Notamacropus eugenii: one gene and its partners. The protein of the gene in region 1 purifies or fractionates together with the protein of each later gene. This does not show direct contact. Links are inferred from orthologs where the notes say so. Each region holds a gene or a part of one and is shown in the gene's direction. Other genes may lie near its edges.

Evidence for each region.
Region 2: the proteins of RMND5A (region 1) and GID4 purify together in Homo sapiens (affinity purification with mass spectrometry; 4 studies listed by BioGRID and IntAct, counting the BioPlex papers as one, with this or other methods). This does not show direct contact. The link is inferred for Notamacropus eugenii from reciprocal best matches to the Homo sapiens genes RMND5A and GID4.
Region 3: the proteins of RMND5A (region 1) and MKLN1 purify together in Homo sapiens (affinity purification with mass spectrometry; 4 studies listed by BioGRID and IntAct, counting the BioPlex papers as one, with this or other methods). This does not show direct contact. The link is inferred for Notamacropus eugenii from reciprocal best matches to the Homo sapiens genes RMND5A and MKLN1.
Region 4: the proteins of RMND5A (region 1) and RANBP10 purify together in Homo sapiens (affinity purification with mass spectrometry; 4 studies listed by BioGRID and IntAct, counting the BioPlex papers as one, with this or other methods). This does not show direct contact. The link is inferred for Notamacropus eugenii from reciprocal best matches to the Homo sapiens genes RMND5A and RANBP10.

Annotation. Positions count from the first base shown.
Region 1 is NC_092872.1:725,344,947-725,352,595, reverse strand, and holds the start of RMND5A (E3 ubiquitin-protein transferase RMND5A), read left to right. Parts: upstream 1-4,641; 5' UTR 4,642-5,084; coding exon 5,085-5,226; intron 5,227-7,649.
Region 2 is NC_092874.1:335,297,351-335,304,714, forward strand, and holds the start of GID4 (glucose-induced degradation protein 4 homolog), read left to right. Parts: upstream 1-4,352; 5' UTR 4,353-4,602; coding exon 4,603-4,791; intron 4,792-5,326; coding exon of another isoform or gene 5,327-5,372; exon of another isoform or gene 5,373-5,417; intron 5,418-7,364. Other genes in the region: ATPAF2 (ATP synthase mitochondrial F1 complex assembly factor 2), read right to left, coding at 3,694-3,844.
Region 3 is NC_092874.1:119,238,871-119,245,763, reverse strand, and holds the start of MKLN1 (muskelin), read left to right. Parts: upstream 1-3,888; 5' UTR 3,889-3,974; coding exon 3,975-4,072; intron 4,073-6,893. UniProt on the Homo sapiens protein: Component of the CTLH E3 ubiquitin-protein ligase complex that selectively accepts ubiquitin from UBE2H and mediates ubiquitination and subsequent proteasomal degradation of the transcription factor HBP1.
Region 4 is NC_092872.1:696,102,032-696,109,236, reverse strand, and holds the start of RANBP10 (ran-binding protein 10), read left to right. Parts: upstream 1-4,203; 5' UTR 4,204-4,233; coding exon 4,234-4,474; intron 4,475-5,952; coding exon 5,953-6,064; intron 6,065-7,205. Other genes in the region: TSNAXIP1 (translin-associated factor X-interacting protein 1), read right to left, coding at 3,486-3,538. UniProt on the Homo sapiens protein: May act as an adapter protein to couple membrane receptors to intracellular signaling pathways.

The DNA of each region.
Region 1 (7,649 bases):
GATACTTTGTACAAAGGTATTTGTAGCTTATACTATACTGTGTGATATTTAAAAACTTGAAACCTAAAATGCCAAATGGCTAAGTGGACTATGATTAGAGATTGCAGATGGAGATTGTATCAACCTAAATAAAAGCAAATGTGGAAAATATTCTGAAATGTAGAAAAGTCTGCATGAAATAATACAAAGTTAAAAAGCAGAGCTAGAAGTCCTACATGAGCGTACAAGTGCCAATTCTAGTTCACGCCATCCTCATGAGCTTGGGAAAATCCACTCCTCTGCTCTGTGAAAGGAGGAGACTGGATGAACTCTTGAGGTTCCTTTTAGGCTTCAGATTATGATCCTGTGATCCCCACCCAAACATGAGGAAATTGGGGCTCAGAGAAGTGAAGGAACTTGCCCAGTGCCACCAACTGCTCAGTGACAGAGCTGGGGCTTCAACTCTTTTTTCTTTTCACTGACTTCCCAAAACCCCAAAAGAAGCCTTTCCTACCCCACCTCCCAAGTCCCATGGATGGTACTGAAGTGATTTCCCCCCCCCCCAGACCTAACAATACCCTTAAAAGACAGTCTGCCTTTTGATGAAATACTAAAATTAACCTGTGCTTTTCAATGAAAGGTTTGCAGGCTTTTACATATTGAGGTCAAGATTTCCTAACTTTAAGAATGGCCAGACTCATTCTCCCAGGATCTTGCTTTTGCATAAAAGTCATAGGGTTTTCACTGGAGAAGGAAATGGCAAACCACTCCAGTATCTTTGCCAAGAAAACCCCAAATGTGGTCATGAAGTGTCGGATACAACTGAAAAACAACTAACAAAAACCCCTGTAGGATCACAGATGGAGAGCCAGAAGAGGCTTGAGAAGCCATCTAGACTAACCCTCTGATTTCACAGATGAGGAACTGAGTGGAATGAAGAATCCCGTCATTATTCTAGTCTAGTTCTACATGGAAGGGGTCTGAGGCAGGTTTTGATTCCAGGTCTTTCTTATCCCAGGGCCAGTTCTAGCTTTAGGTCAAGATTTTCCCTAGTAGCTGTCCCTAAGGCGTTCTGGGTAAACTAGGTAAAATTTGGATTTTCTCCTCTCACCTTGATTTCCCATTTCTTTTATTCCAAGACTGATTGCATTCAAAACTGATTAAATGTAAAGTGAAGGAGAGGGTTCATGAAGACCAATTACTTAACCTTTCAAAAAGACCCTTCCTTTAGAACAGTATTTCCCTACCTTGGTAAAGTAAATTCTAATTTCTTTAGTTTTCCACCCACTGAAGTTTCTGGTGACACATTTTAATGGAGGAGAATGGTTGTTGTCTGATCTAGAAGAGGATCAAAATGATATTACTATGCTAAAGTCAAGTTTCAGTGTATCTAATTATGGCTGATCAGACCAAGATGACTCAGAATGTTCTACCACCATGAGGGCACAAATAGTCCATGTGAACAATTGGGTTGAATACTCTAAATTTGCATATTCTGCATTTCCTTTGAGCTGTTTCAATTCTGCTTTGCTCATAGAGTACAGCATCTTCTCTGATTTGGGCATGCCATGCTGAGCAGTCCTGTGTCAATGTGTCCCATGTCACAAATCAATACCAGAGTTCTTCAGAGACCTTGAGAGTGTCCTTGTATTGCTTCTTCTGACTACCATGTGAATGCTTGCCCTGTGTGAGTTCTCCACAATATTGTCTTTTTGGCAAGCATATGTTTTACATTTGAACAAAGCAGCCAGCCGATTGGAGTCTCTAAAGCAGAGTTTCAATGCTTGGCAGTTTAGTAGACACTGAGGTCCACTACCTTATCCTGTCAGGGGATCCTCAGAATCTTCCTAAGACAGTTCAAATGGGAGCGATTCAGTTTCCTGGCATGGCGCTGGTAGACTGTCCATGTTTTGTAGGCATACAACAATGAGGTCAGCAGAAGGCTCTGTAGACCTTCAGTTTAGTAGTCAGTCTAATACCTCTTCTCTCCCACACTTACCTTGAGAGCCTCTCAAACATCGAGCCAGCTCTAGCGATGTGTGCCTCAACCTCATTACCAATGTGCACATTCCTGAAAAGGTAATAGAGGAGATAATATTTATGGGAGGTTTTAGGTGCAAGTTAGTTGGAAAAGTCCTTTGGGTGCACCAAGCAGATGGTGATTCCTCTTCTTTCATGTTATTTTCCTTGATAAAACCTTATCCATTTCTGATGTTTAACCACAGGGGAATGTCAAAGACTTCGTTTTCTATGTCTTTTGTAGCTGTGGTCCCTTAGGAGGCCTGCAAAAATTGCAGAAGCAGATGCCAGGCCACATCTCCCTAAGAGCCAATTCCCTGGATGACAGCACTTTGAGCTGTATTGGAAGCAGGGGGTCTGCTCTTCTTGAGGTCTTTACACTTTTCTGAGCATCATGTAAAACAATTTCTTTAAGACATATTATAGGTGATAAAGTCCTAACTGGGGTGATCACAGTGCAAACCAAAAGAACTGACTAGAAGAGAAAACGAAACATGAGAAGCCATAGGATTTGGTGACTTGTGGGGGTCAGGGAAACAGCTATCAAAAAAAGACTGAGCTCCTGTCTGCTACTGACAGAAACAGGAAAGCTAAGGAGAGTGGGTTTTGAGTAAAGTGATATGTTGTTTTGGATAGGTTAAGATCAAGGTTAAGAAAGGATTATTCTTTTAAAAAATATTTAGTATTTTATTTTCTCCCAATTGCATGTAAAACCAATTTGAAACATTAGTTTTTAAAATACTGAGTTAAAAATGGATTATTCCAAAGGAGATGTTTAGTTGGGCACTTGGCAGAAACAGGTTTGGGCCAGAGACATAAATTCTGTAATTTTCTACCTAGATGATGGCTAAAACTGTCAGAATGGATGAGTTGTTAGAGAAAAGAGCAGAGATGGAAGGTCTGAACTTTAGCAACTCAGGTAAGAAATGGGAGGAAAAATGGAGTCAGCAATAGATGTGGAAAAGAAGAAAAAAGGTGGGGTAATAACGCTCCAAGAGCCTATGGGAATGAAAGGGGAGGCGATCCATGGAGCTAAATGCTGCAGACAAGGTCAAAGAGACTGAGGACCTACGGGGCTGAGTGACACTGGACCTGACAGAGAGTGCCCTGGGGCCCTTTGAGTCCTGGGGCAGAGGATGGGATGGGGACTGGGGGAGAAGCCAGACTTCCTGACCTAAGCCAGGAATGCCTAGTGAGGAAACAGAGGAAGCAGGTACAGACTGATTGAGAGTGGACAGCCAAAGGAGACAACAAAGATAGAATCTGAGTGAAGTGGGGTTGGATGAAGGCTGCTCTTCCCTAGTCCCCAAGACATCAGACCAAAAGATGCAGGAGAGGGGGATAATTGTGGGAGCAGGATCCCAAAGGAGGTGAAAAGGGCTCCCTCCTGCAAGAAAGCCTAGGACAGCTAGTCATAATAGCAATTTATATGTATGATCTCCTTTGATCCTCAAAACAACCCTGGGAGGCATTATTTCCATTTTACAGATGAGGAAACTGAGGCAGAGGTTAAGTGACTAGCCCAGGGTCACACACCTAGTGAGAATGGATTTGAACTCAGGTCTCCCTGACTCCAGGTCCCGTGCTCTGGTTAGTAGAACGATGGGAAGGGCTACTTTTTTTTCTTTTGGAAACTTAAGAGTTTGAAAAGTGAAGTTTATAAGAGCACTGAATGGGCCAGGCAAAGGGCACAGCTTATGCAAAGGTTCGGAAGGAAAACGTGGCATGTCCCGTGAATGCAGGAGGGTTGGGTGGGTCAGCTTAGCACCGCTAGAAGCCAGGATCCCTTTCTTCTTGTTCCAGCAGCAGAAACAGCAGCAGCTGAGTTCGGTCTAAGGGCTCCTCCCCTCCCCCTCTCCCTTTCCCTCCAGTGATAAACACAAACACACATACACATGGAAACCACAGTAGCCCCGCCCTCCCTGGGCCGCACGTGCAGGAGCCACGCGCCCGCTCGGCCCCGCCCCTCTCCTGCGCCTGCGCTCTTCTTGCCTCCTTGAACTCCCTCCCTTCCCGTCCTCTCTCCTCCCTCCGAGCCAACCGAGTTCTAAGGTCACTAATTAATCACAATGACTAATAAAAGCCATTGGCTTGCTCCTCCAGGGGAGCTGGTCTCCGGTTGTCCCTCCCCATCCCAGGACAGTTGACAGGGTCGTTATCAGTCGGCAGAGCCTCTGCCACCAATAGGCCTGGTCATCTCGGCCGCTCCCAGCCTGGCCTTGGGGAGGTCGGGGATAGAAAAGGAACGGGGTACTGGCGCGCGGGCTTCCTTAGGCAAGGGTCGATGTTTGTTTTGCCTTCCCGGGAGCGGTTCCCCCCTCCGACAGCGAGTCGGTTGGTTTGGCCTGCTCGACTCGGATTGGGGGAGGTTTGATGTTACGGTCCAGGATTGGAGGAGATTCCCTCATGACGTAGTGCCTCCTCTCTAGTTGCCCGGCCATAGGTTCGCTTTTAGGCCGTCCCCGGGGGAGGGGTTAGAAGCCGTTTCCCTCTGGATTAGGGCTGCTTCGGAGCCTCCCCCTTTTCCCTTCACGCACGTCCTCCGGCCTGGCTGGCGCGGGGGTGTCCGGTGGTTTCTCCCCGCTCTTCCCCCTCGCTGGCCTCCCGTGGTACGGCCCACACTTTAACCGCGGCTGCGCGCGGCCGGCCCCGCGCTAGGCGCTGGTAGAGACCCGGGCCGCGGCGCTCGCTCGGCTCTCCGACCCCCCCCTCTTTTTCTCGGCCGTCCCGCTTGGTACGGCCCGCGGCCCGGCGCTCCTTCCCCGCCCTCCCCCTCGGGCCGGCGGCGCTTGGTGCGGCCCGGGAAGAGAACCAGGTCATCGGTCGGTTCCTGTGAAAACAAAAACAATCGGCGGCTGCCCCAGCGGCAGCAGCAGCGGGCGAGGGACAAGGGGCGAGCGGGGCCGGGGCGTCATGGAGCCGGGGGACGCGGGCAGCTCAAGGCGCTGCCGCCGCCGCTGAGCCGCCCCCGCCGCCGCTTCAGCCGCTGCCGCCGCGCGGGAGGCGCCGAGGACCCGGAGCGGGGGCCCCGGGCCGAGGGGACGGGGAGGGGACTGGAAGGGGACGCGGCCTCGGGACGGCCCGGCATGGATCAGTGCGTGACGGTGGAGCGGGAGCTGGAGAAGGTGCTGCACAAGTTCTCGGGCTACGGGCAGCTGTGCGAGCGCGGCCTGGAGGAGCTCATCGACTACACGGGCGGCCTCAAGCACGAGATCCTGCAGAGCCAGGGTACGAGCGCCGCGGGGCGTCCGGCGGGGGCGGGGCGGGCCCCCCGAGGAGGGGGAGGGGCTGCGGGCGCGGGGGCCGCTCCTCCACCCCCTTTCCTCCCTTCTCCCTCCTCCAGGCTCCTGGGGCCCCGGACCTTGGCCCTCTGACCCTAGTGGTGGTCAGCGCGGGACCCCACCCCCAGCCAAGTCTCCGGATTGATTCCGAGGGCCCCCGGCCCATTCTCTTCGTTCGCTCAGCTCCCGGTGGGTCCGCCGCCTCCCTTCCGAACTCCCCTGGTTCGGACCCCCTGACTCTGAGAGCGAAGCCGGGGGTCCTTCGGATCCCAGCCCAGACCCTCGTAGGCCTCCGTTTCCCCATCTGGATCTCGTGACCTCTGAGTTGGCTTCCTGCTCTAAGTTTGTTACCTTGATTTCCTCCGGGCGCATCCTCTGCCATGTGTCCTAGACCTGGGTCAGACGGACCGAGCCCGGGCTTTCGGTCTGTTTCTGGGGAATGCCCAGTGCACGGTCTCCGCAGCTTACTTACTTCTTGCCAGCCCTGATCTCGTCTAGTTCCGTGATCTCCACTTTTCCCTCCTCTCCTGGGCCGTGTTCTGAATTGGTTCCGTTTTGTTTTTGTCTCTTGGATCTGGTTCCTGGGCACTTCGAGTCCATTCTAGTGGCATCCTCTTTTCTCCCCTTCTAGAGAGAGCTCAGCACTGAATTCCTCTAGTGTCTGACTGGGCTTTTTGGCCGCAGCTTACTGGGAACTTCTGCTCCTTTCCAGTTGTCTTCCTCTTCCCTCCTTTTTCAGAGGACTCAAGGTGGAATTCCATCTCCCAGAGCACACTGGGACCTTGCCCCTCAGCTAATAGGATTTTCGCATCCATTCTAATCACACCCTCCTTCTTTTCCCTCTTAGTGTCTCATGCCCACGGGGTCTTTTAATCCGTTGCAGTTGTGAGGAGTGTCCTACTGGGAGCTTCTCCTCCACTTTGGATGCATACCAGGGCCTTGCCCCCTTCTTTCCTAAGGTCCCATAGACCAGGGTCTCTGCAACCCCGGTACTAGCAGCACTAATCCATTCTTAAAGTTGGTTTCTCCAGAAGACTCCGCAGAGCTCCAAGGAAAGGGATCGAGCTTTCCTTTCTGCACAGCCCAGCCCTCCTCTAGCTTTTCCACAGGGCATCAATAGCCTGTTGCCTCAAACCTTTCTGGGCTTGAGTATCCCTTGGCTGGACTCCTTTGGGCTCTGGAGTCCCTTCCCTTCCACCTTCCCACTGACTTTCCCCCTCTCCATGCAAGTGTTATTATTAACCTGCCATCAGGTCGACTTGAGAGGCTGGAAATCAGTGGGAAAGGGCTGGCTTCGGGGAACCTCTTGGATAATGACATGTATTCTTTAAAGTCAATGACAGAGCTCTGAAGTTGTTAGTAAAGAGAGTAAGCAGGAGGGAAGGAGGGATGGTTTGTGTGGAAAGATGCTGCCTGGAAATTAACTGGATGAATAAGAAAGGCCCATTCCATCCTCTTTTAAGGAAGAGACTTAGGCCTGGGTGAAAGGGAGATTTGGGCAAGTTGTGTGTGGAGGAGGGGGTTTAAAGGGGTTGGTGCAGGTTGTCTTGAATAATGCATAGTCTTTGCAGTTGATTTTTCTTTACAAAAAGCAGAACATTGGAGATTTTTATTCTTGTTTGCTAGTAAGAGTAACCTTAACTGTAGCTTTTTGGGCTGTTGTGGAAGCCACTGATTGTGAATGGCAGCAGAACCATGATAGTCTAACTCAGGAACAGGCTGAATTAAGGAAATGTGCTGAAGTGAGGTGGGGTAGCCTGGGGTATTTTCTGCCTGATCAATTTGTTTCCCAGAAAGCAGAGTATTCTTTCCCAAGCACTATTGCCTTGCAGTTGTGCTGGTAGATAAGCCCAGAGTACCTGCTTTGTTAACGTTAACTCCTTGGAAAGTGGGGCTTGGTCAGGGTGGGTAATGGGGCCACATGTAAACGAAAGCTCCAAATTGGGGAGGGCTTTTTGACTTGTCAACCAAAGTTTGTTTGGGCCAAAGTGTGGACTGTCCTTGTTTTACTCCCTAGTTTTCCTTGATAGGGATGGGGCAGTTTTCTAAATTTCAAACTCCTTTGCAAGGCTTATTGATCTAGTGTAATTCAGTGCTGCTGAAAGTCAGCAGACTTGGGGGACCTGAGGGTTCTTCTTTGACTGGTAGCATCTAATCCTATATCACCTGGCCTCTCCAGCCCTCATAGTCTTCATTACTGCTTTCCAGGAGTGCTAAACATTTGTTTTATAGTTATGTTTTTAGTTATTTCATTCTGTCAGACTTTTCATGACCCCATTTGGAGTTTTCTTGGCAAAGATGCTGGCATGTTTTGCCATTTTCTTCTCCAGCTCATTTTACAGGTGAGGAAACAGGCAGACAGGGCTAAGT
Region 2 (7,364 bases), on another chromosome or scaffold:
ATTTCCCTAAAAACACAGATCTAAGCACTTTACTACCTTGCTCAAAAGTCTTTAGTGACTCCTAATTGCCTACAGGATAAAATGTAAATTCTTGAGTCTGTCAATTAAGCTTTTCCACAATCTGGCTCCTATCTACAACTTTTCAGCTTTATTTCAGACTGTTCTTCATGAACATTTTGGTCTAGCGTAAATGGACTACTGGTATTGTAGTTAGAAGTTAGCTCATCAAATTTATTTTACAGATAACAAAACTAGGGCCCACAGAGGGGAAGTGATGTGCTGTTAGGTGGCAGACTCAGGGCCTCAGAGTACAAATCCAGCACTCTTCCCTATACCAGACTGCTGATGCCCAGACTTGACTGAAGCCAGAAAGCCATCTCCTATGTCTGTAATGCATTTCTTCCTCCTCTTCACCTCTCATAATCACTGTCTTTTTTCAAATTTAAGTGTGGGTACCAACTCCTCTATGAAGTCACCTCTGACTCTGCTAGCCACTATTTAATTGATAAACAATTTAAGTGGCAAGATGTGTGCTAGGCATCAGTGATACAAATATAAAAATAAGACAGTCTCTGCTCTCAAATTTACCAAAAGTCTTAGTTGAGTGAATTTTAATCTTTAGTAGTTTTAAAGTATACTAAGACTTGGGAGACACCTTGTATAAAATAAATACAGTGACTGATGGTGGTGGATAGGAGGGGACTACCAACTAGGGAGTCACCAGGAAAGGCCTCTTGAAGGAGGTAACCCTTGAGCTGAGCCTTGAAGGAAGCCAGAAATTCCAAGAGGAAGAAGTAAGGGAGGAGAACATTCCAAGCATGGGGGGGAGGGGGACAGGCTGGGCAAAGATGAAATACTATGGTCAGAGAAATGCAAGCAGATCAATTTGGCCAGAGTGGAGTGAACGAGGGGGAAAACGCCAGTAAAACCCTATCAGCCAAGGATAAGTAGAAAACAGATTTTGGAGGGCTTCAATGTCAAATAAAAGAGGCTGTACTTCTATTAGAGCTCACTATCTTGTTTTACCTTGTAGTGCCAATGACCACTCGTCTATGGCAGAAACTTGCCTCAGTGTCTAGCACATAGTAGGATCTGTTTTTACCAAAAAGATCACCTTTAACCATGACCTTCCAACATTAGATTGTGTACTCTTTGGAGGAAAGACACAGGGCAAACACAAAGCATTAGACTGCCTTTGTTTTGAGTTCTTTCAGATCAACTGAATAGGACTGAATATGAAACTATTGGATGGAGGAGGTCAAGCAAGCCCACTCAGAAGAAGCTGCAGGGCATTCTGAAGGAGAGACAGGAAGCATCACAGACCAGTTGGGTCAGCCAACATCTCTCTTTGGAACTGTAGTGCTTTCAATCCAGTGTCAAATGGTTCAACACAGAAACTGATAGGATTTTGTCAGTGGAAATGGCATTGAAGATCAATCATCACCATCTGCTTTGCTGCTGTACCCTAAGGACCAGGGGACCTTTCAATCTGACTTGTAGCTGAAACCTTCCATATGGAGTTTCCCCAGGAGAATGTGAGCTCCTTGGAAGGAGGGAATGGCTTACTTTTCTATTTATATCCACAGTTTTTTTATACATGATAAGTGCTTAATAAATGCTTCATTCATTCATCGACTCATTCAGGAAGATCTGCCACATGATGAATTTTCCACAGAGTAAATTTCCTACCAAGTTCCCTTATATGATAAAAACTCTAAATGAGTCAACGTAAATTATTTTCTAGGTAGTGGAGACAGATCAGAAATCTTTCCCATAGCAACTATATTAGGGTAAAGAGTACTGGCCACTAACTGGCCAGGCCAACTCCCTTTCTCTCCCTGCCCTGCCCCCTCTGCAGTATAGAGAGGGAAAGGGGAGACATCAATCATATATTTCAAGTTAGAAAAGACAGTCTACAGATAAGGAATTGCTGCCAAGAGAATAGGTGGCAAAGTAGCTGTCAGAATTCATCTACAGGAACTCATAAAGATCTCTGCTTTCCTCTATACCAGGAAAAATCTGAAGAAAAATCAGGAGAAAATGTATGGGACAATCCACTAGGAAGGGCAGGGGGAAGTGGAGTACGACCAATCGACCAACCAGTCAGAAGATGGGTTACATCTATCCTTTGCCTAGACATCCAATCATCAGGCACCTCTCAAACACAACCCCAGCACCCCCTTCAACCATTATTGCCCAACACTACCCCACTTTGCCTTCAGCTCCTAAACCTCTCCCCTTCTACTCCATCACTAAAACCAATCAATCCCAGCAGGTATGTCAATGCATCTCCCACAATCCCCCGAACCCCAGCAAACACATACACTGCCCCCCAGATCACCTCATGATGGTTTGGTGCCTCTTGGATAGTCCTATCCTCTAAAGGAGAAATATTAAAATTCATCTGTTTGGTTAGCCACATCAATCAAATTGACTGAATATTTAATTCACACCCTTAACATTCACATCAAAGTTTTGAAAAGTGAAATGATCACTATTACTAAATCACTCTAGCTTGTTTTTATTGAGAAAGCAGCAGTATGTATGTTTAATGTGATTGGGAAGTAACCAGAAAATCTGCTGTACAATACAGGTGTTCACTGGTTATATATATACTATATATGATAATATAGATAATATATAATAGCCAGTGATAACCAAGTACCAAACTTACAGATGTTATACATTTTTCTTTTAGCAAAAAAAGTGATAGTTTCTGCTATGAAAGTGGTTGTCAGAAATAGTACTGTACTTAGCAGTTATTTAAGAAGAAATTAACTTGAATCTGTTCTTTCAATATAAAGGTGATGTTTTAATGAGTTTTAATGTTTTAAGAATGAGAATGGTTTTTGAAAGAACTAATGTAAGAGAGCACTGGAAAATGGAAGGTTGGAAATATTTCCATCATGTGATTTTGTTGCTAAAAATGCTATGTTGTCATCTATAAACTCTCATATCTTCAAAGTTAAAAAAAAAAAAACCTAAACAGCTTTGGAAACAATTTTCTAACCTGTTTAAAAATCTTCTAAATGAAAAGTTTCAGCAGGTTTTGAACCCATTTATTAAAAATATTAAAACGAGACACCTGCAGATTTTAACTTGCAGTAGAAATTTTCTAGCCAACTTTCAACCAAAAAATACCTCAGTATATCATCGATAGGGCCGAAAAGCGAGTATGAAGATTGAGTGAGTAAATGCACTGTTTCCACTTTGTTCTTTGTCAATTTTTTCCCAAGGTAAATTTACCATTAAAACCCAAATTAACTGAACCTGGGACCATGTACAGTGATACATGTAATTTATTATATATAATAGGATTATACCTCTATCTTCATATATGTACATATCGCTATACACATCTATAAAGGGTGAATCTACTAGACATATCTACACATACACCTACTTACGTGGATCTACCTCAATCTACACATGCCTAGTTATAGGCACAGACAGATGTAGGTCTGAATGGACAGACAGATACAAATATAAGCAGATCTATATCCATATATACACACACACATATACCTCCATACATTAGGGCTACACGCTTCCACATGTTTTCCCTGGAATAGGTGACCCCTGGGCTGCAGGGCCCGTCCGTCCATCCCGCCATGGCGGGTGCCCCTCTCCGGCCCCCCCCGAGCTACCTGCGGCCCAGGCCCGGCCGCAGCGGGGCCTCCCGCCTGCGCTCACCTGCGGGGGGGGCGTAAGCCCGGCGGAGGAGCCAGAGCCCCGGGGCCGGCGCGGCCTGGTCCCCCGGCTCTACGGGGGCGGCAGGGACCAAGCAAGGACGGCGTGGGAAGCTCGCGCCTCCGGCCCCGAGCCGAAAGCAGCTTCGCCACATAGCACCTTTGGGCGGGGACAGGGAGCAATCGAGGAGGGGACCCCAGGGCGTGAAGGAGAAAGACCGCAACCTCTCACGGTTGGGGCAGTTGCACCGGACCCGCCTGCAGAGTTCTCCCACCACTAGCTGAGTTCAACTTCCTTTGGCCACCGCCATATGACCCTGAGCCACTACCGGCCGGTCCCCTAACCTTCGAGCCCTCCCAGCCAATCAGCGTCACGAACTCGTTCCGTCTCTAGGCAAAGACTACATATCCCAGCGGGCCTTCGACCTCTGGACACGTGTGGCTCACGCCAACCAATAAGAAGAAGCGGCGGCTAAAATTGCTCCCGCCCCCTCACCGGGTCAGAGCCAATTGGCCTGAATTAGCTTATGTGTGTATGAGTGTAAGTATGTGTGTGGGTGGGTGGGTATGTGTCTGTGTGCGCGTGCGCACATGAGTGTGTAGGTAGGGGCGGGGTGGGGGGGGGCATCCAGGGAGGGGGAGCCCCCGTTCTCTAGTCCTCCCGCACCCGTCGGCGGCTAGAGTAGCTTGTCGGCCAATAGCGGGGTGGGCGTCCCTCTCCTCCCTCCCTCCCCTCCCTTTCTCATCCCGCGCGCCTGCGCGCGCCCGGCCCCCTCGGTCAGCCCGCCCTCCTCCGGCTCCCGCGCGGCGGCCGCGGCGGCTTCTCCCCCCTCCCCGGCTTTCCCTTCCCCCCTCCTCTCCCTTCCCCTCCCCCCTCCCCCACCCCACCGCCCTGGCTCCGGGGGACCCCGAGATGCCGGTCCGCACCGAGTGCCCCCCGCCGGCCGGAGCCTCGGCCGCGTCCGCCGCGTCCCTCATCCCGCCGCCCCCCATCAACACCCAGCAGCCCGGAGTGGCCACCAGCCTCCTCTACAGCGGCTCCAAGTTCCGCGGCCACCAGAAGAGCAAGGGGAACTCGTACGACGTGGAGGTGGTGCTGCAGGTACCGGCCCGGCGGGCGGCGGGCGGGCGGCCTCCTCGGCCCGGCCCGGCCCGGGCCTCCCCGCGGCCGGCCTCCCTTCCTGGTCCGCACCCGTGCTCAGGCCCCCATGCCCGGCCCCTGGAACTCCCCCCCATTGTTGACACCCCCAGCAATGGGTGGGGGGCTCCCCCCCAAGCAGGGTCTTAGTTCTCTGGCCCAATTCCCCCTTTTCGTAGACGTCTGTCCTTCCGCACCCCAGGCCGGCCTCCCTGAGTCACCCCCCGACCGCTGCGGGGGCCTTCCCTTCCCCATCTCCACCTCGGGGCCTCTGCTCCCCTCTTGTCCCCGGACTTCCTACTCGGTCCTTCCTCACCCCCACCAGACGTCGTGCCCCCCGATATCTTATATCTGTCCTTCCCTCCTCCCGGGGCCTCCCTGAGTCACCCACTGACCGCTCTCCTTCTGTCCACATCAGTCTGTCCTTTTCTGTCCGTAGGACCCCCCCGCCCCCCGCCCCGACACTCCTGATATTGCCCCACCCCACCCTCATCTCCACCTTTCTCTGCTGCACAGAACATCCTCTTCTCCTGCCTTACACCCATTCATTAGAAAGGCTTTGATCCCTGGAGAACCTGCTCATTTCCTCCTCATCTGGGGACCTGCTCCCTGGTTGAAATAACCCATGAAACCTGGCAACTTTCTTCCGTACCTCGCCTCTATTTCCTCTTCATAACCTGACCAACAACCACTCCCACTTCTCCTGAGGAAGAGGTCTGGTTAGTCCCCCCAGTGAGCTTCCCCTCCCTTCAGACAGCATTCCTTCTCTCTGTGAACCTCTATTAAAGAGGTCCTCCTTGCCTCTTACATCACCTCCTCTCCCTGAGCTGGCTTTGGAAATGTTTCCTGGCACATCCGTGCCACTTAGGAGGAATTTGCCCAGGGTGGTGATGTGAAATTTTGTCCTGGATGTGTGAACGGGATGGACAATCTTGATTGCTCCTTACTCATGCCTTTTTCTTTGGTCTAAGAGGGTCTAGCATCTTGCCTCAGATCAAATAGGCCTTTAGTCAAAAGACACCTTAAAAACAAGTTCATGAATCCCAGATTAGGGACCCCTGTTCTTGAGCGCAAAACAAACCTTTTTTCCTTGTCTTGTGGAAATCATTATTCTCCTTTCCTGGAATGGGAAGATGTCCAGTGCACTTTGCCTTAACCATTTTCTTCTTAGTTAGCCTAGTCTATATACCAGAGGACCTCTCTTCTTTTCTTCCCTTAGGGAAGGTAGATGATTTTCTTTCAGGCCTGAAAACTTAGCTGCTATCCTTTGTCATATTGTTTATATTAAGAGAAAATGTGGTGATTTATCTGTGCTCTTCCTGAATTTTAGAAACAATATATAATAGGCTTTCTCTTCATTTCCCAAATTTTGTGTCCTTTCTAGAGCGTAGTTGCGAATGTCTTTTACAACCCATCGCAGAAATCGTCTTAGTGAAAGAGAGCTCTAGAGATTAGCCATAAATTGTAAAGATGAAAATGTTTTTGTCTTCTTTGTGACCCTGATTTCTAATTTGGGACCTTAATCTCAATAATTCACTTTTTCCACATTTGAGGACAACCTAAGTTTGGGGCAGGTGAGGATGTATATCATGGAAAAGGATAAGAATGAGTCTGCTGAATTTGATATTTTAGATCAGGATGAGGACTGGAACTTTAAGACAGCTAAAAGTAGAAGCCCATGGATGCTGGCTATAAGACATCTTAGCTCAAACGGAACTTTCTAATGTGGATTGTAGTCATGTCAGGTAAAGGCTGTGCTTGTTCTGCAGGTGGATGGTGAGCTCGTTCATCAAGCTAGCATTCTTGTTGCTCCATCAGCTAGGACCTGGCTACTTCTGTCCCTGTGGCCTGTTTGCTTGTACCGTATTCATTCTTGAGGTTCTGCCTTGAGAAGAATTCTATCATATCATGCATTTTACCGGGTCTACATTTTTTTTTGCTGCAGTGTACTTCTTGCTATCCAAGAAGCCAAGTGCAAAGGAAATCTTAGGACACTGTGGAAGGAATATAAAGAGAGCACCTTTGTGTCCAGATGTGCTGAGTGGCTCCTTTTTGCTAAACATGTTCTTTTATCTTTCTCATCTACACTCTAGTTACAATATACACTGTTAATCTTCTCCTTGTTAATTCCAAGCTTCATAATGGTCAGTTTAAACAGAATAGATGAAGTATTGGGTTGAATGTAGGACATTCTGGTTCTTTGATGTTTTGTTATTCTTAAAATATATTAGCCAGGTCACAGATGCAAAAACAAAAAACAAAACAACCACAGCCCATCTCATCAATATCCATGTCACCCTGGTATCTTTCCTTCACTTGTTAAACCCCCATATATGTTTTTTCATTGAGTGCTGCATATATAGACAAGGTTGTAGATTAGAACTTTATATGTCATTTATAATTTAGGCAGTGCTGTGTAGTGGAAAGAGTATTGTTGGTCTTAGAATTAGAAAGACCTAACTCAACTCTGCCACTAACCAGCTGTGACCTTGAGAAAGGCAAGACTTAATCTCTTTCTTCATCCACAAAGTGAAAAT
Region 3 (6,893 bases), on another chromosome or scaffold:
AGTAAATGCTGTTTGAGCCTCACTTTGATTATATAATTTTCATTTTTTAGATTTTTTTGTATGTCAAAAATTGGTGGATTTTGTTTTCTTATCTATTGTTATCCTCTTTTTTTTTTTATTGAATTGTTTAATCCATTTGTATTTAAGGTAATGATTGTTAGGTTTGTGTTTTTCATTTATTTCTTTTGTATTGATTTTTGTTCCTTCCTTTTTTAAGTCAGCTCTTTGTACCTTTGATTAGTTTTGGTGATACTGCTTTGATTCTATTCTATTCCCACAGGCTTGTCATCCTGGCTCATTTACCTGATATCCTAAATTACCTCAGTTTACTTAAGATGTTAATTTTTCTTTCAAAATTGTTAAAAATATTCTTCCACCTCTCACTCAGATAAATATGTATTCCATAATTTTCCTTTCCCCTTCCAACTTCTTAGATTAAGTAGCATTCTTTTGTTGTTCCAAGAAATTTTCACTTGTTTTTTTTCTGTTTTCCTCATTTCAGTATTTATTATGCATTCTATTCTCCCATTCATTGGCTATACCTAGATCTTTACCTGTTATTTCTTTATTCTATTTCCTTCATTAGAAATGGACTTTCTAGAGTCCCAAATTTGATTTTCTTCTCTCCTATTTCTGGAATTGCCTTTATATATCTTATTTACCCTATCCTCCTTACCACCCATTATTCTATATACGTATGTATTAATTTACCTTATTTTTGTTTTGCTTTTGATGGGGTCTTCTGCTGTGTCCTACTCTTGGAGATGACAATTAATAAAGAAGGAAGCACATAGTGACAAGATTCACTTTGGAACCCAAGTCATGAAGCTTAATCCTATATCTGGCCCTTATCATGATCACTCACCACTTTTCAGACCAGATAATTCTATCTCCAAATCTCCTTACCCCTTGCCAACATGGGTGCTGAATTTTATAATATGTTCAAAGCTGTCCATTTTGCCATTTTTTCCCTGAAATTCTGTTCTCTAATTTCCCACTGAATTTCTCTACTAAAAAAACCTGGACCCCTCCTACCATTGCAGTCTTCTTATACCTTACTCCCCATTATGTACTTGGCTTTCTAGTGACACTGACCTTGCTCTTTCTTAAACAGAATTCTTCATATCCTTCCTGCCTAGGAGGCTCTCCCTTCTTATTGCTGTTTTCTAGCTTCCTTCAAGTCCCGGCTAAAATCTTACCTTCTACAAAAGCTTTTCCCCTGTAATACTAGTGCCTTCCCTCTGGGGATTACCTCCAATTTATCATTTATCCATCTTTTTTTGTGTTTAGTTGTTTGCAACTAAATTGTGAACTCCTTAAGTTTAGGGACTGTCTTTCACATTTCTTTGCATCCTCAGTGCTGAGCACATAGTACATAGCAGGCACTTAACAAATGCTTCTCAACTAATATCTTTTCTTTTTAAAGTTTAATTACTCTTATCAAGTACTTTGGAATTCATTTCTGTTGTTTCAAGATCTCTGGGAATTTGCAGAATATTTTTTTCCATTGGGGGATTTATCATTCATTCCCTAGCATAATAACATAGCATGATAGTTCAGTTTTTTTTTTTTGGTAGTTTGTATGCATTTTTTTTCTTTTGCTGTTGATCTACTTCGTATCTAGGCCTGTATCCAGCCTTTTTCTTTCTCTTTCAGTTTTTAAAAAAAAATGTATTTTTAGTAACTTGTCTCTGGCTTCCCTCCTCATTCTTGTCCCTTTGCCCTTCTATTGCTATGGCACAAAATGTCCTCATCGTCTTCTGTTTGGGGAATATGGGAGATTTGTTCCCTGCCCAAAGTAAACTTTCTTAACTCATTTATGAAAATAGTTCAAAATCTTCCTTCCCCCATGGACTTACATTCTTTCAAGTGGCTTCGCAGAATTAGTTCCTTCTGCATCTTGTCATGGGGGTATGTATATGTGTGTGGGGAGAGGGTGTTTCAGGTCGAGCCCCAACTTTTCAGGGACTGGGAAGGCCTGCACAGATGGACCCTGAAACACAAGCTTGTGAGGTTGATTGCACTGGAGCTGGCTAATAGCAGCTTTATGTGTTTTAATTCTCTCATGTAATTTCATGAGGCATTTTCTTCCTCTAGTGTTTGTTACCTTGCTAATTCAACTGTAGTTACTATATATTAAGCACATATTTTGACTTTTTGTAGGTTAAAGTTACATAGGGAAAATAAATTACTGAGTCATCTCATTGAAGAGTCACCTCAAATTACCCACTATTTACCCTCCATGTGGTACTCAGCTTTTCTGTATCATTCTCTACTGTTCTCCTTCAACTGTTCTTTCAGTATCTCTAGGCTGAGATGGAAGATGATGGCCTCATTCATCATTCCAGTTTAGATATAATCTCACTGTTTCAATGTGTAATTAATGACATTTTAACTGAAAAATTTCCTGGGGTAGATTGCATATTATGTCACAATACACAAATGACTCATGTATACATTTACATATTAAATATATTTGTGATTCTTCCAACCATTTCTTGAAGCATGGGATCATTTTAGTGGGGGCTAGATTTCTGATGCTTTCAGTTTTTTGCTCCAGTAAATGAGGAGATGGGGATAAGATCTTCAGAAATGTGGGGAGTAGAAGACGGTTATAGGAGCAATCAAACGTGGGGTAATAAAAACAATCCTGGAGTATCAGGAAGCCTATATTCTACATACTGCCCCTGCTACAGGGCAGCTGTAGGACTTTAGGTAAGTTGCTTAGACCCCACTAGGCTGAAATCCTTTCTACTCTAAGAAATCATCCCTTCCATAGCATTTCACCGTCTATAAACTAAGAGGTTTCTGATCTTTTGGAACATAGCTGGAAGGCACTTTAGAGATCATCTAGTCTATCCTTTTCGTGTGCAGATTAGAAAACGGATATGCACAAGTTAAGTGACTCGTCCAAGGTCACACATACAGTAAGAGGAAGCGAGGTGACTTGAGTCCAGGGCCTTTCTCTCCATCCAGCATAGGGTGCTGGGGCCCCTTCCAGCTCCGCAATGACGTGATTCTAACGATCCTCTCTGAAAAGTTCAGCTTTTGGAGGCCTTGTCTGGAGCCCACTTCTGTCTCTCTTGCCAAGGCTGGCAGCGCGGAGGCCGTTCCGGGCTCTCAATCTCCAGCCTCCTAGGTTTTCCTGACCCGGGCTGGCTGGCCGGGCCCTCCCTGGAGTAAAGCCGGACTCGGACGCCGGCCTTCCCGCGAGCCCAGGGCTACCTGGATCGGCCAGGATCGGGGAGGATCCTTCGGCGGCGCAGGGGGGAGACGGAAGAGGGGCCCGGCGGCCGGGGGGGGTAAGTCCGGGGCCAGAGCGCCATCTCCGGTCCGAGGCAACGCCAAGGGGCCGGGGGCGTCGGGGCTCCGGGGAAGTTACGGACCGCTTCAGTTCAACCCGCGTTCCCCCCATGCCCACCTCGCGCCTGCGCGAAGCTGCGGAAACGGGATCCACGGCCCCCCGGCCCCGGCCCACTCCGCTCCCCAGGTCCCGGCGCCCTACCGGCTGTGCTGTTCAGTTCTAGGCACACGGGCAGACACGTGAGGAGGGGGAAGGGAGGGCGAGCACCCCGTGGGCAGCAGGCCCTCATTCTGCCTCTCTTCCCTTTCCTCAGTCCTTCGCCCCTGTGCCCTCTCCCTGCCGCCGTCCTCTCCCCGTCCCCAAGGTCTCTTTTCCCCAGGTATCAGCCTAAGGAAACACAAGAGTCTCGGTTCCGGGCGGCCTTAGGTAGAGGCGAGGACGGCGTGTCTCTACCTCCACGGGGTCGCCCCGGCTCCAGGCGCACCCGAGGGAAGGATGCTCCGGAAAGCGTCGGATGCCGAGCGCAGACTCGCACCTGGCCGCGGGGGCCCGCCCGCCGCGCCGGATGGGGAGGCGGCCCCTTTAAGAGCAGGCCCCGCCCCTGCCCTCCCGTCCCCTCGGCGCTGCCAGCGTCGGCGGCGGCCGCGGCGGCGGGTTGGGAGCTGACAAGATGGCGGCTGGCGGGGCTGGTGCTGCGGCGCCTGAGAGCCGGCTGCTGCCTTACGCGCTGCACAAGTGGAGCTCCTTCTCCTCCACCTACCTCCCCGAGTGAGTGCGGGGAAGGCCCGGGGGGCAGTGTCCCGACCCCGGAGATGGCGGGGCGGGCGAGGGGCGGGCGGCGGAGAGAGGCCCGGGCCTGCTGCTGGTGCTTGGGCTGCTGCTGCCGCCGCTGCCGCTGGGGGTGTGGGGGGAGGCGGGGAGGGAGGCGCGGCCTTCTCTGCCCCCTGGCCCGGCCGAGCCCGTCCTCGTCTTCCCGCCCCGGCCCTCCTCGTCTAGTCTGGGCGCAGGCATTAGGGCCGCCGCCGCCGCCGCGCTCGGGCCGAGCTGGCGGGGGACACGGCGTGCGGCCCGGGAGGCGCCGGGAGCTGGGGCGGGCGGAAGAAGAAGTCTCTGCGGGGTCGAGGACCGCGGAGCTTCGGGGAACCCCCCGGAGTGGGCGGCGCGTTGTTCCGGGAGAGAAGCTTGGGAGCATGGCCTGTGAAGTTGGGAGGGGGGAAAACTTGGGAGGCCAAGAGCGGGGCGAGTTCAAGTTCTCCAAGGTCCCGGGAGGGGGAGGAGCCCGCCCGGGGGGGGGGTACCCGGCGGTGACTGCGGACGGGTCAGTGCAAAGCGGGCCATCCAGGAGCCCTTGGGAAGCGCCCGGGCCAAAGGCGGCTCCCAGGCCGATAGGAAAGAGGGGGCTCCGTCTCCGGCCCCCAAGCGTCCGGAGCGTGCCCCCGTGCTAATTTCTAGATCTCAGTTACCGCCTGCAGAGGCGGGGGAGGGCTGATTATCCTCCAGGTACAGGGGAAGAAATGGACTCCGTCAGTTTAGGACGTGTGAAAAAAAGGAAAAAATGGAAGAAAGTCTTTCCCCTCTCCCAGTGCTCCCCCATCTTGGCAGAGTTTTTGTTTTAAGACCTCTGTTCCCCCCCAGAGTTTTCCCGTGGGTCTTCGCTGTGCCAGGCAGCATTGTTTTATAAGCAAACCCAAGTGTGGAGTCAAAAGAGATTGGAGTTCAGTGGGTAATAAAATGGAAATAATGTCCATATTTTACCTTGCCTCTCAGGGTTGCAGGGTTGTTGTGAACATCAAACTAATATACCTGTGTAAGCTGTTTTTATGTTCCTAATTTGACTTGGAGCTTTAAACAAGTATGTGATCTGTGTTATATAGGTCATGTCCAATTCTCGCCCCCTCAACCCCGTAGTTTCATAATATTTAGAAATTATACAGCTCTAGTGTGGTCACTAAAAGGGCATCATGAAACTGCGACTAGGACAATTCAGTCCTTTTGACTCCCAGTCCATTACTCTGTCAGACCACAGTTTGACTGGAAATCTTTTGCTTGTCACAGGATCCGGTTCACTGAATGGTGCCAAATGACCTATGGTCAGATTAGTTTTTTGTGTTATATTGACAGCTGCCCCCAAAAACCTCTTTCTCCTCCTGACTTTCCTGTTTTTGCCATTGATGTCACCATTCATATAGTTTTTCATGTTGAAGACTTTACTTGTTACCTTTGACTTTTCTTTTTCCTGTATTTTTTAAATCTGAGATTTCTGTTGATTCCACCTCAGAAACTTTCCCTCAAAGTGAGGTTGAGTGTTACTGTCATGGTCACACAGGTAGTGAGTCTTTGAGGCGGTATCTTGGAAAATACTTATTAGCCTTCCCTCTGCACGTATGACCACTAGCCTCCTTTGGCTCTCATTGCCTCCCCGTGTGGAGTCTTAGGGTAGAATCTTATTTGGTGTCCCCTCCACGAGTCTTGACTCTCTGCAGTCCATTCTTTAGTAGCTGCCTGATTAATCTTTGCAAAGTACTGGTCTGTCATTCACTTGCTCAAGAATCTTCAGTCCCTATTACCTCTAGGATAAAATACACAAAACAAGATGACTCCAGACCACCTTTTTAGGTGTGTTTTATATCATGTGCTTTATATTTCAACCAAATTGATCTACTTGTTATTCACCTAACTTGGTACATCTACCAAGGTTTCCTGTTCCTGCCTTTGCAGAGGTTCGTACTGGAAATTTCTGTGCTGGAAATGCAGTCTTCTTCCTTGATATTTAGAATCTTTAGCTTCTTTAAAGTTTTCTATGGGAAACCATTCCTGAACTCCCTAAGTAGTAAGTGCTTTGTTCTTTCCTCAGATTATCTTTTTTTGTGTTTGTGAGCTGTATCCCAAATAGAAGGTAGGCTCCTTGAGGGCAGGGGTTGTCCATCTCCTCACAGTGCCGCCTCTGTATCATCATGCTCTTCATTTCCATTTGTTTGTCCAGATCTAGTCTATCATTTATATCTCTGTATGACTTTATCTAGTTGCATAGCTCAGTTTTTAAAAAAAAAAATCTTCATTTTTCTCCCTTATGTGTTCTGAGTCAGTTTCAGACTTTTTAATCTGGAAAGCCTTCCTTTTCATTGTTCTCCAGCTCCAGCCAAACTAAAACATGAATGTATGGTGCATTTCCTCATGCTTTTCTCAACGACTGGAATGTTCTCCCTTTCCTATTTTCCGTTGTCAAATTTCTACCTGTTTTTTAAAATACTTGACACTCAAACTCCAGTTTGAGGATGAAGTCAGAAAAGCAGTCTAGCCCTCAGCTGGAGTGGGGACAAGATAATTGGTACATTGCTTCTGCTTTCTTTAGCTTTCTCATTTTTGAAAGGTGTGAGATAAGCTATAGTACCCTATTGAACTGGCAATAAAAGGTAGGGGCTTAAACAGGTGTACCTGGTCCTGCAGTTATTCTTTGAAGTATCATAGTCTAGTTACTACTAGACTACTAGTACTTGAGGTTGGGAGCTGAGACATGGTTGTTGTTGAGCTCTTGAATTGTTATGGGTCATTACTGCTGTATAAAAACTTGGACATGATGTGATTGAGT
Region 4 (7,205 bases), about 29 Mb from region 1:
GTGCCAGCCCCACGGATGACTGTGGGTCAGTGTCTTAGGGTTGTCTTCATTAGAGCCAGGTTGTGTTGAAGCAATTCTGTTTCGTTTCTCCATCCCTCATTTCTTACCGCTCCCCTCCCCACCATGGAAAGAGTTTCTCTTAGGGTCCATTTCAAAATGGTTTAAAGAGAGTGTGGTCCCATTCTGGACTTGTTTTGCCTTAGGGCAGAAGGTACAGCTGTTCCCTTCCTATCAACATCTGGTAACCTCTTAAAGTGCTCAGAATCTCATTGAAAGAGGGGTACCGTCAGAATGGGTAATGATACTGCTCCTCAACATTTCACACCCTTCCAGAGGGATTCAAGGTTCCAAGCAAAACAAAGGGGAATTCAGTTGGTGCCAGTACAAATACCTGTGGCCAGATTTTTTTGATAAGAAAGTCCAAGGATCATGAGAGGTGGAGGATACGCTTTAAGATGAGGCCTTAGAAATCAATTCGTTCTAGGCTCTCATTTTTCGACTTGCCCAAGTTCAAACTAGTAGTATTAGAGTCAATATCTGAACCCAGATTATACTGGATTCTTTTCAATTGATCTAGTATTGATCTTCTTTGTACAAAGTGATTGGCATATTGTCTTCCCAATTAGATGGTGAGCTCCTTAATAAAAGAGCATTTCTATATCATCTACTATGTGCCAGGCACTTTACCAGTATTATTTCATTTCATCTTCATGATAACCCTGGGATGTAACCGCTATGAGTATCCCCATTTTACAGTTAAGGAAAACTGAGGCAAACAGAGGTTAAGTACTTGCCCAAGGTCACACAGCTAGTAAATATCTGAGGCCAGATTTGATATCAGGTTTTCTTAAGTTTTGGCACAGGGGAGTGAAGTGAGTATTGATTCACTCAACAGCCATTTATTAGGAATTTACTATACCCAAAGCATTTCATAATTTATGGGGCCTATGGGAAAAATCGTTTGTGAAGAAGCCCTGATTCAGGTCCTCATCTTCATCATCAACAACTTTCACCTTCCAATACCTCTTCAGGCAACAGCTACAAAAATACACCACCCCCTTTGCCAACAGCTGATATGAAAGACAATTGCATATTTTATTTTGCAGATGAGGAGCAATGACTTGAGGAGATCATACAGGTACCTGGGCTAGGATCTGAATGTAGGCTTTCTGACCACAGATCCCTTGCCTGTGTTTTACCTTACCAGTGCTGCCTTAATTCAATGAATGTAAGTATCCGTTCAGTGGACATCCTAATTGTCTTTGCATCTTTATTGGCATGAACTTCAAGAAAGGTATCATTGGATTTTAGAACTGGAAAGGCCCTTCAGATCATTTAGTCCATGCTCCTAATTTTACAGATGAGGAAGCTGAAACCTAGAGAAAGGAAATGATCTGCCCAAGGACACACAGATGTGTGCTGATGGAGACGAGGTTGGGACTGAGGAGGAAGTGTTATAGAATGTGAGCAGTAGTGGAAAGGACAGGAGAGTTAGAGTCAGAAAACCTTGCTCTGTTACTTGCCAGCTGTGTAATTGTGGGCAAGTCTCTTGACCATTCTAGGCTTTAATTTAATCCTTTGTAAAATGGAGAGTTTTCACTGTATTGATACCTAAGGTCCCCTTCAATTTTAAACCTGGTCATCCTAAGTGCTACAGAAACATGAGGTTTTTTAAAAAATCATTGGTGAATCTCTCTATCTAATAGGACTGTACTTTGCATTTAACCTGTATGATCTGGAGCACATGCTTCTTTTCTCCAGATCCCAGTTCTATCCTTGGTTCTCTCACTTGTGTAATTTGGAGCAAATAGCTTCCCTCTCTGGGTCTGTTTTATCCTCTGTAAAATGAGGGGTTGGACTAAATCTCCAAGGTATCTTCCAGCTCTAAATCTTATTAGATACACAGGATAGTAGAGTGGAAAGAATTAGAGCTGGAATCTGGTAATCTTGGATCCAAATCTGCCTCTGATACTTTACCAGCCCCTCTGTCCCCCAGGGCAAATCATTTCAGCTTCTAAAGTCCCAGTTTTGTTATCTAGAAATACGAGGAAGGATAATACTGGTAAGGATTATAAATACTTCACAGGGCTGTTGAGAGGAAGCCTTTTGTAAACCTTAAGACACCATGGAAATGAGAGTTATTCCAGGACTCCAAATTAATGGAGTGGCCTCTAGGTGTCAGTAATGGATAGGGTGTGTACTTAAGAGTTAAGGAAACAGAAGTTCAAATCTTGGCCTCCATCACTTTCTGTCTGTAATTCTGGCCAAGTTCGTTAACCAAGCTCAGTCTTAAGTCAAGTCAACAAGCATTTTTAAGTGCCCACTCTGTGTCAGGCACTATGCTTAGCACGGAATACAAGGAAAGGCAACACCACTCCCTGCTTTCAAGGAGGCAGCTAGGTGGCCCTGTGGATAGAGAGACTGGCCTCAAGACATGAAGACCTGAGTTCAAATGTGTCCTCACATACGGTGTGACCTTGCACAAGTTACTTAACCTCAAGTTTCCTCAACTGTAAAACTGGGATTGTAGTAGTAACTGGCACATAGTAGGTGTTACAGAAATGCCAGTTATTACTATTATATTTGGTGTTCCTCTCTGCTTTATTTTTTAGCGTTCATTTTAAAAAATTTTGCGTTTCAAATTCTCTCTCCCTCCTGTCCCTTTTCCCCATCCATTGAAAAGGCAAGCAATATATCAATTATACATGTGGAGTCATTCAAAACTAATTTCCATGTTAGCCATGTTGCAAAAAAAAAAAATGCAACAAAAGTAAATGAAAAATAAATAAAATAAAATGCTTCAATCTGCACCTAAGAGTTCACAGTTCTCTTTCTGGAGGTAGACAAATGCTAGCTATTATTAAGGAGCTCACAGTCTAATGTGGGAGACAACAGTGCCAACTACTTCGTATAAAGAAAATATATACTAGATATGTTGGAAACAGTCTCTAAGGCAAGGCACTAGAAATTAGGAAGCCCTGAAAAGCTTGCAGAAGGTGGGGACTCTGAAACTTGAAGGAAGCCAGGAAGTGGAGATGAGGAGGGATAGAACTCCGGGCATGGGACATATCCAGGGAAAATGCCAAGGGCAGGGGGACAAAAGAGCAGGGAGTCCAGTGTCAACGGCCAGCAGAGTTGGAGGATGGAGGAGGAGAGGGAGGTCAGGTGTACTCAGACTTTAAAAGTCAAAAGCAGGATTTTATCATTTTTCTGGGTTTACAGACTCATTTTACTGAATCGGGACGCTTCCGTTCACTCATTTATAAAATGGGAATGATCCTAGCAAAGCACTTTGGAAATCTTAAAGCTCCATGGAAATGCTAGCTATTACTAGGCGCAGTTATTCTCCTAATACACGTGGGCACCCTCACAGCGAGTGCCAGTCTCTCGCCCCCGGAGGTACCAGCTATGCCCCCCCCCCCCCCCCCCCTGCAGCTGAGGAGAAAGCGAGAAGCCCGGGGATCCAGCTTCTGCCCCAGCCATACCTCACTGTCGCTTGGGACAAGGTAGTATCGCCTTTAGGCCGAGGGAGAGCCATATCCCTTTCCTAGGGCAGCGACCGTTCGCCCGCAGCCTCAGCGCCTTACTCCAGGAGCCTCCGCCGGGATTTGTTTACAGTCCGTCGCTATGGAAACGCAGCCTCGCGAAGACCCCCGCGGACAGGGGTGGCTGCGATACTGCCTGAGTCGCGCGGCCCGTAGCTAGGTCAGGGTCCCTGCCCCCGACGAGGAGCAGCTCTGGCCCCTTGTATGGGAGGTCTGGGAAGGAGAGATTCACGTCCGCTTGGGGGAGACTTCCCTAGGATATTCACACAGGTGAGAAGTAATACTTAGAGATAAACAAGTTAACACGCTCCAAGGCAACAGAATTACGGTGGCTTCGGGGTGGGGGGCGGTGTCGAAGGCTGAGAGGCCAAAGCCGCTTTCCTTTAGGGAATTGTAGTTTTTACCGTCCGAAAGTCTCCCCTTGACAGGGTTCCAACTGAAGAGATACGGACTACCACCCCCGGTAAGCCTTGCGCGTCCACCCTCTCAAGCGAATTCGCCCCGCCCCTGAGACCGCTGGCACTGTGGGACTTGTAGTCATTCCGACGGGAAGACACGCATGCGAACACGGAAGTCAAACTCAGTTTCCCTACGGCCTCCGCGGGCGCGCAGCTTATTGGCTGGGAGCGGCGGATCTGGTGCTTGTCTCCCCCCGCCTCTCTGTGACACAATAGCGGCTCCCTCCAAGATGGCGGCAGCGGCGGCGGATCCGGGAGCGGGGAGCCCCCCAGCTGGCGAGCCTTGCGGCGGGGGCGGCAGCGGCGCTGGCGGGCTCCCCTCTCCCGGGGAGCAGGAACTGACCCGGCGCCTGCAGCGCCTCTACCCGGCTGTCAACCAGCACGAGACGCCGCTGCCCCGCTCCTGGAGCCCCAAGGACAAGTACAACTACATCGGCCTCTCCCAGAGCAACCTCCGCGTCCACTACAAAGGTGCCGGGGTCGGGGCCGTGGGGGACGGGGGGTCCGCGGGGGTCCGCGGGGGTCCGCGGGGCCGGGCCGCCCTTGGACAGGGCTCGGGGGATCTGGAGAGAGCTTAGAGACCGCCTAGCGCACCGCCCCCTCCTCCATCCCCCCATTTCACAGGTGAGGAAACTGAGGCTCAGAGAGGGAAAGAGACTGTCCCAAGGTCACACAGCTCACCGGTGCCAGAGCTGGGATTCGAACCCGGGCCTTCCGAGCACCCAATCCGGGACCTCGCAGCGGAGTCTCCTCCCTGCGGTCTGAGCCCGCGGCAGATATTTGGGGAGGGGAGAAGGGGACAGAGAAGAGGGGAGGGCCTACAGCCCCTCTCGGCCCCCCCCAAATTTCTGTCCTTCATTCTTTCCCTTTCGGGCCTTTCTTTCCCTGATCCGAGAGGCTCTTAACGTGTGTGAGTGTGTAAGACACCGTGTCCTGCCCCATAGCTTTGTTCTCATCCTTACCTAGTCATAAGTAAACCTAGGTCTTGGATGTTTGGGGTTAGGGTTGGAGACCTAGTTTTAACCCTTTCCTTTTTTGGGGGGGAGGGAAACTGAGGCCCAAGGGGTCCAAGTGCCTTGAGCTAAAACTGAAACCTTTGCTTTTGAGCTCCACACTCCATGCTCTTTCCACCTTCCTTTTGTCTGTCTTCTCCGAATTCAGCCTGATTCAGTTTGGGGGGGCCCCCATCCCCCCCCATTTCCCTGGAGAAGGTTGTCCTGATGGCTTACTGAATCCCCAGGAGTCCCAGCAGGTGTCCCCTGTCTCCTGCCGGCACCTTACATAATGCACTGGGCCCTCCAGGCTCCCTGCTACACAGGCTTCTTAGCTTCTTGTAGCTCAGACTGCCGAGCCATTGGCCATTTTGTAGTTTTCCTGATGTTAACCTCTTGGTAGTGACCTCCCCAACCGTAGGCCAGAGGCCTGTTGGCACTTTTTCCTGCTAAACCTCCTCAGGAAGCCCCGCATTTCTTATTTAAGGGGAAACATTTAAGTAAATAGAACAGGGTATTGGTTCTCTCCCCCCCCACTTCCCAGATGCCCGAAAGGTGCCTGCCACAATTTCCTGAGGACTGACAGACATCACCTCCTTATCTTTAGAAGTCACACAGACACACAGCCTTTTATTAGGGAACATCGTTACCTAGTTTTCCTCTGTATTGCTGCCAGTTTCTCAGTCAGCGCTACTGCTTCTGTCTCTCTAAGTCCTGGAAGAGGTGAGACAAAGTAAAACCCACAGCCATAGCATGTTCTGTAGGTCATTGACATAGTTACATGCAGGGCCAGACTGTTAACTGATTGAATTATCATCAAATTCCTCCTTGTACTGTGTGAGAATTACTTGTGATGAGTCCTTGCTTGGGCTCCACTGCAGTAATCACCAAACAGGAAAGAGAGAGGCTGCTGTTAGCATTTCCTTTTCCTGAAGCTTCCTTATCCCTTTCTTCCAGGTCATGGCAAAAATCACAAAGACGCTGCATCAGTTCGTGCAACTCACCCCATACCTGCTGCCTGTGGCATTTATTACTTTGAAGTGAAGATTGTCAGTAAAGGTAGAGATGGGTAAGTTACCTCTCACACCAGTCTACCTAGTGTCCCCAAAGATGAGTTTTCCTTGTCAGTCAGGGTTGGAGGTCACCCAGTTGATGTTTGTGAGCCAACAGGTGGTAAGCTAGTAATGTATGCTGAAAGAGCAGAAGGCCCTTACATGTTGCCCTTGGCCTAGTTGATTGTGGGTTTTCCATTTAGCACTATTGTCTCATCTGGTAAACCCAGCTGAAAGACAGGTCTTTGCTAGGCGTGATGTAAGAGGTATGGAACCACAAGGGGATTGTCTGCTGCTCATTCTTTTGGATGGGAAGTTTACAAAATTGTCTCACATTCATGTGTTGGGCTTTCCCAACATATGGAAATATGCTAGGTCACTCTTCCGTCCTCTCCCCCCCTGCCATTATAGCTCTTACCACACTTGAGTCTGTTTCTTATAGGTTATAATCACTTGCAGATTTCAAGGGGAGGGAGAAAATTACGGATTTTGGTAGCATTCGTAAAGGCAGTGAGAGAAGACACAGACTGAGGAAGGACAAAAAGAAACTGTCTTTAAGTACTTAGAGAGATGTCATATTTGGAGAAGGAGGGACTAGATTTGTTTTCTTTGGTGCCATAGGGTGGACCTTGGAGAAATGGGTGGAAGTGGTAGAGGGACACATTTTTGGTTCAGTGTAACCTTAAAATTCCCCAATAATTAGACCTGTTTCAATGTGGAATGAGCTGATGAGGAGGTGGTGAGCTTCCCACAAGTAGCAATGGGATGACCAGTTGTTAGAGATGTTGTTGAGGATGATTTCTGAGGTACCTTCTAACCATGACTGTGCATCTTTGACTTGCCTCTAGGGAAACAATGAATACCAGTGTTGGCCTTGCTGCACCTAGAGGTGTTTTTAAGTGGAGAGATTTGAATACCCATCTGACTAGCTTTAAAGGGGTCTAATTAAAGTAAGCTGGAGTGAGGCACACTAATTCAGGGTACTCCAACACTAAATACACAGGAACTATCAAAGTAGTCACTGGGGAGAAAATTTTTTTCTTCTATTTCCTCCCTACTCCCAATCCCATCTGTAGCAACTATCTTTTTTTAATGGCTGGAAACAGAGCAGGTGTTTAGGTTGTGAAAGAACATGAAAGTAAATGCATTGGAAATCCT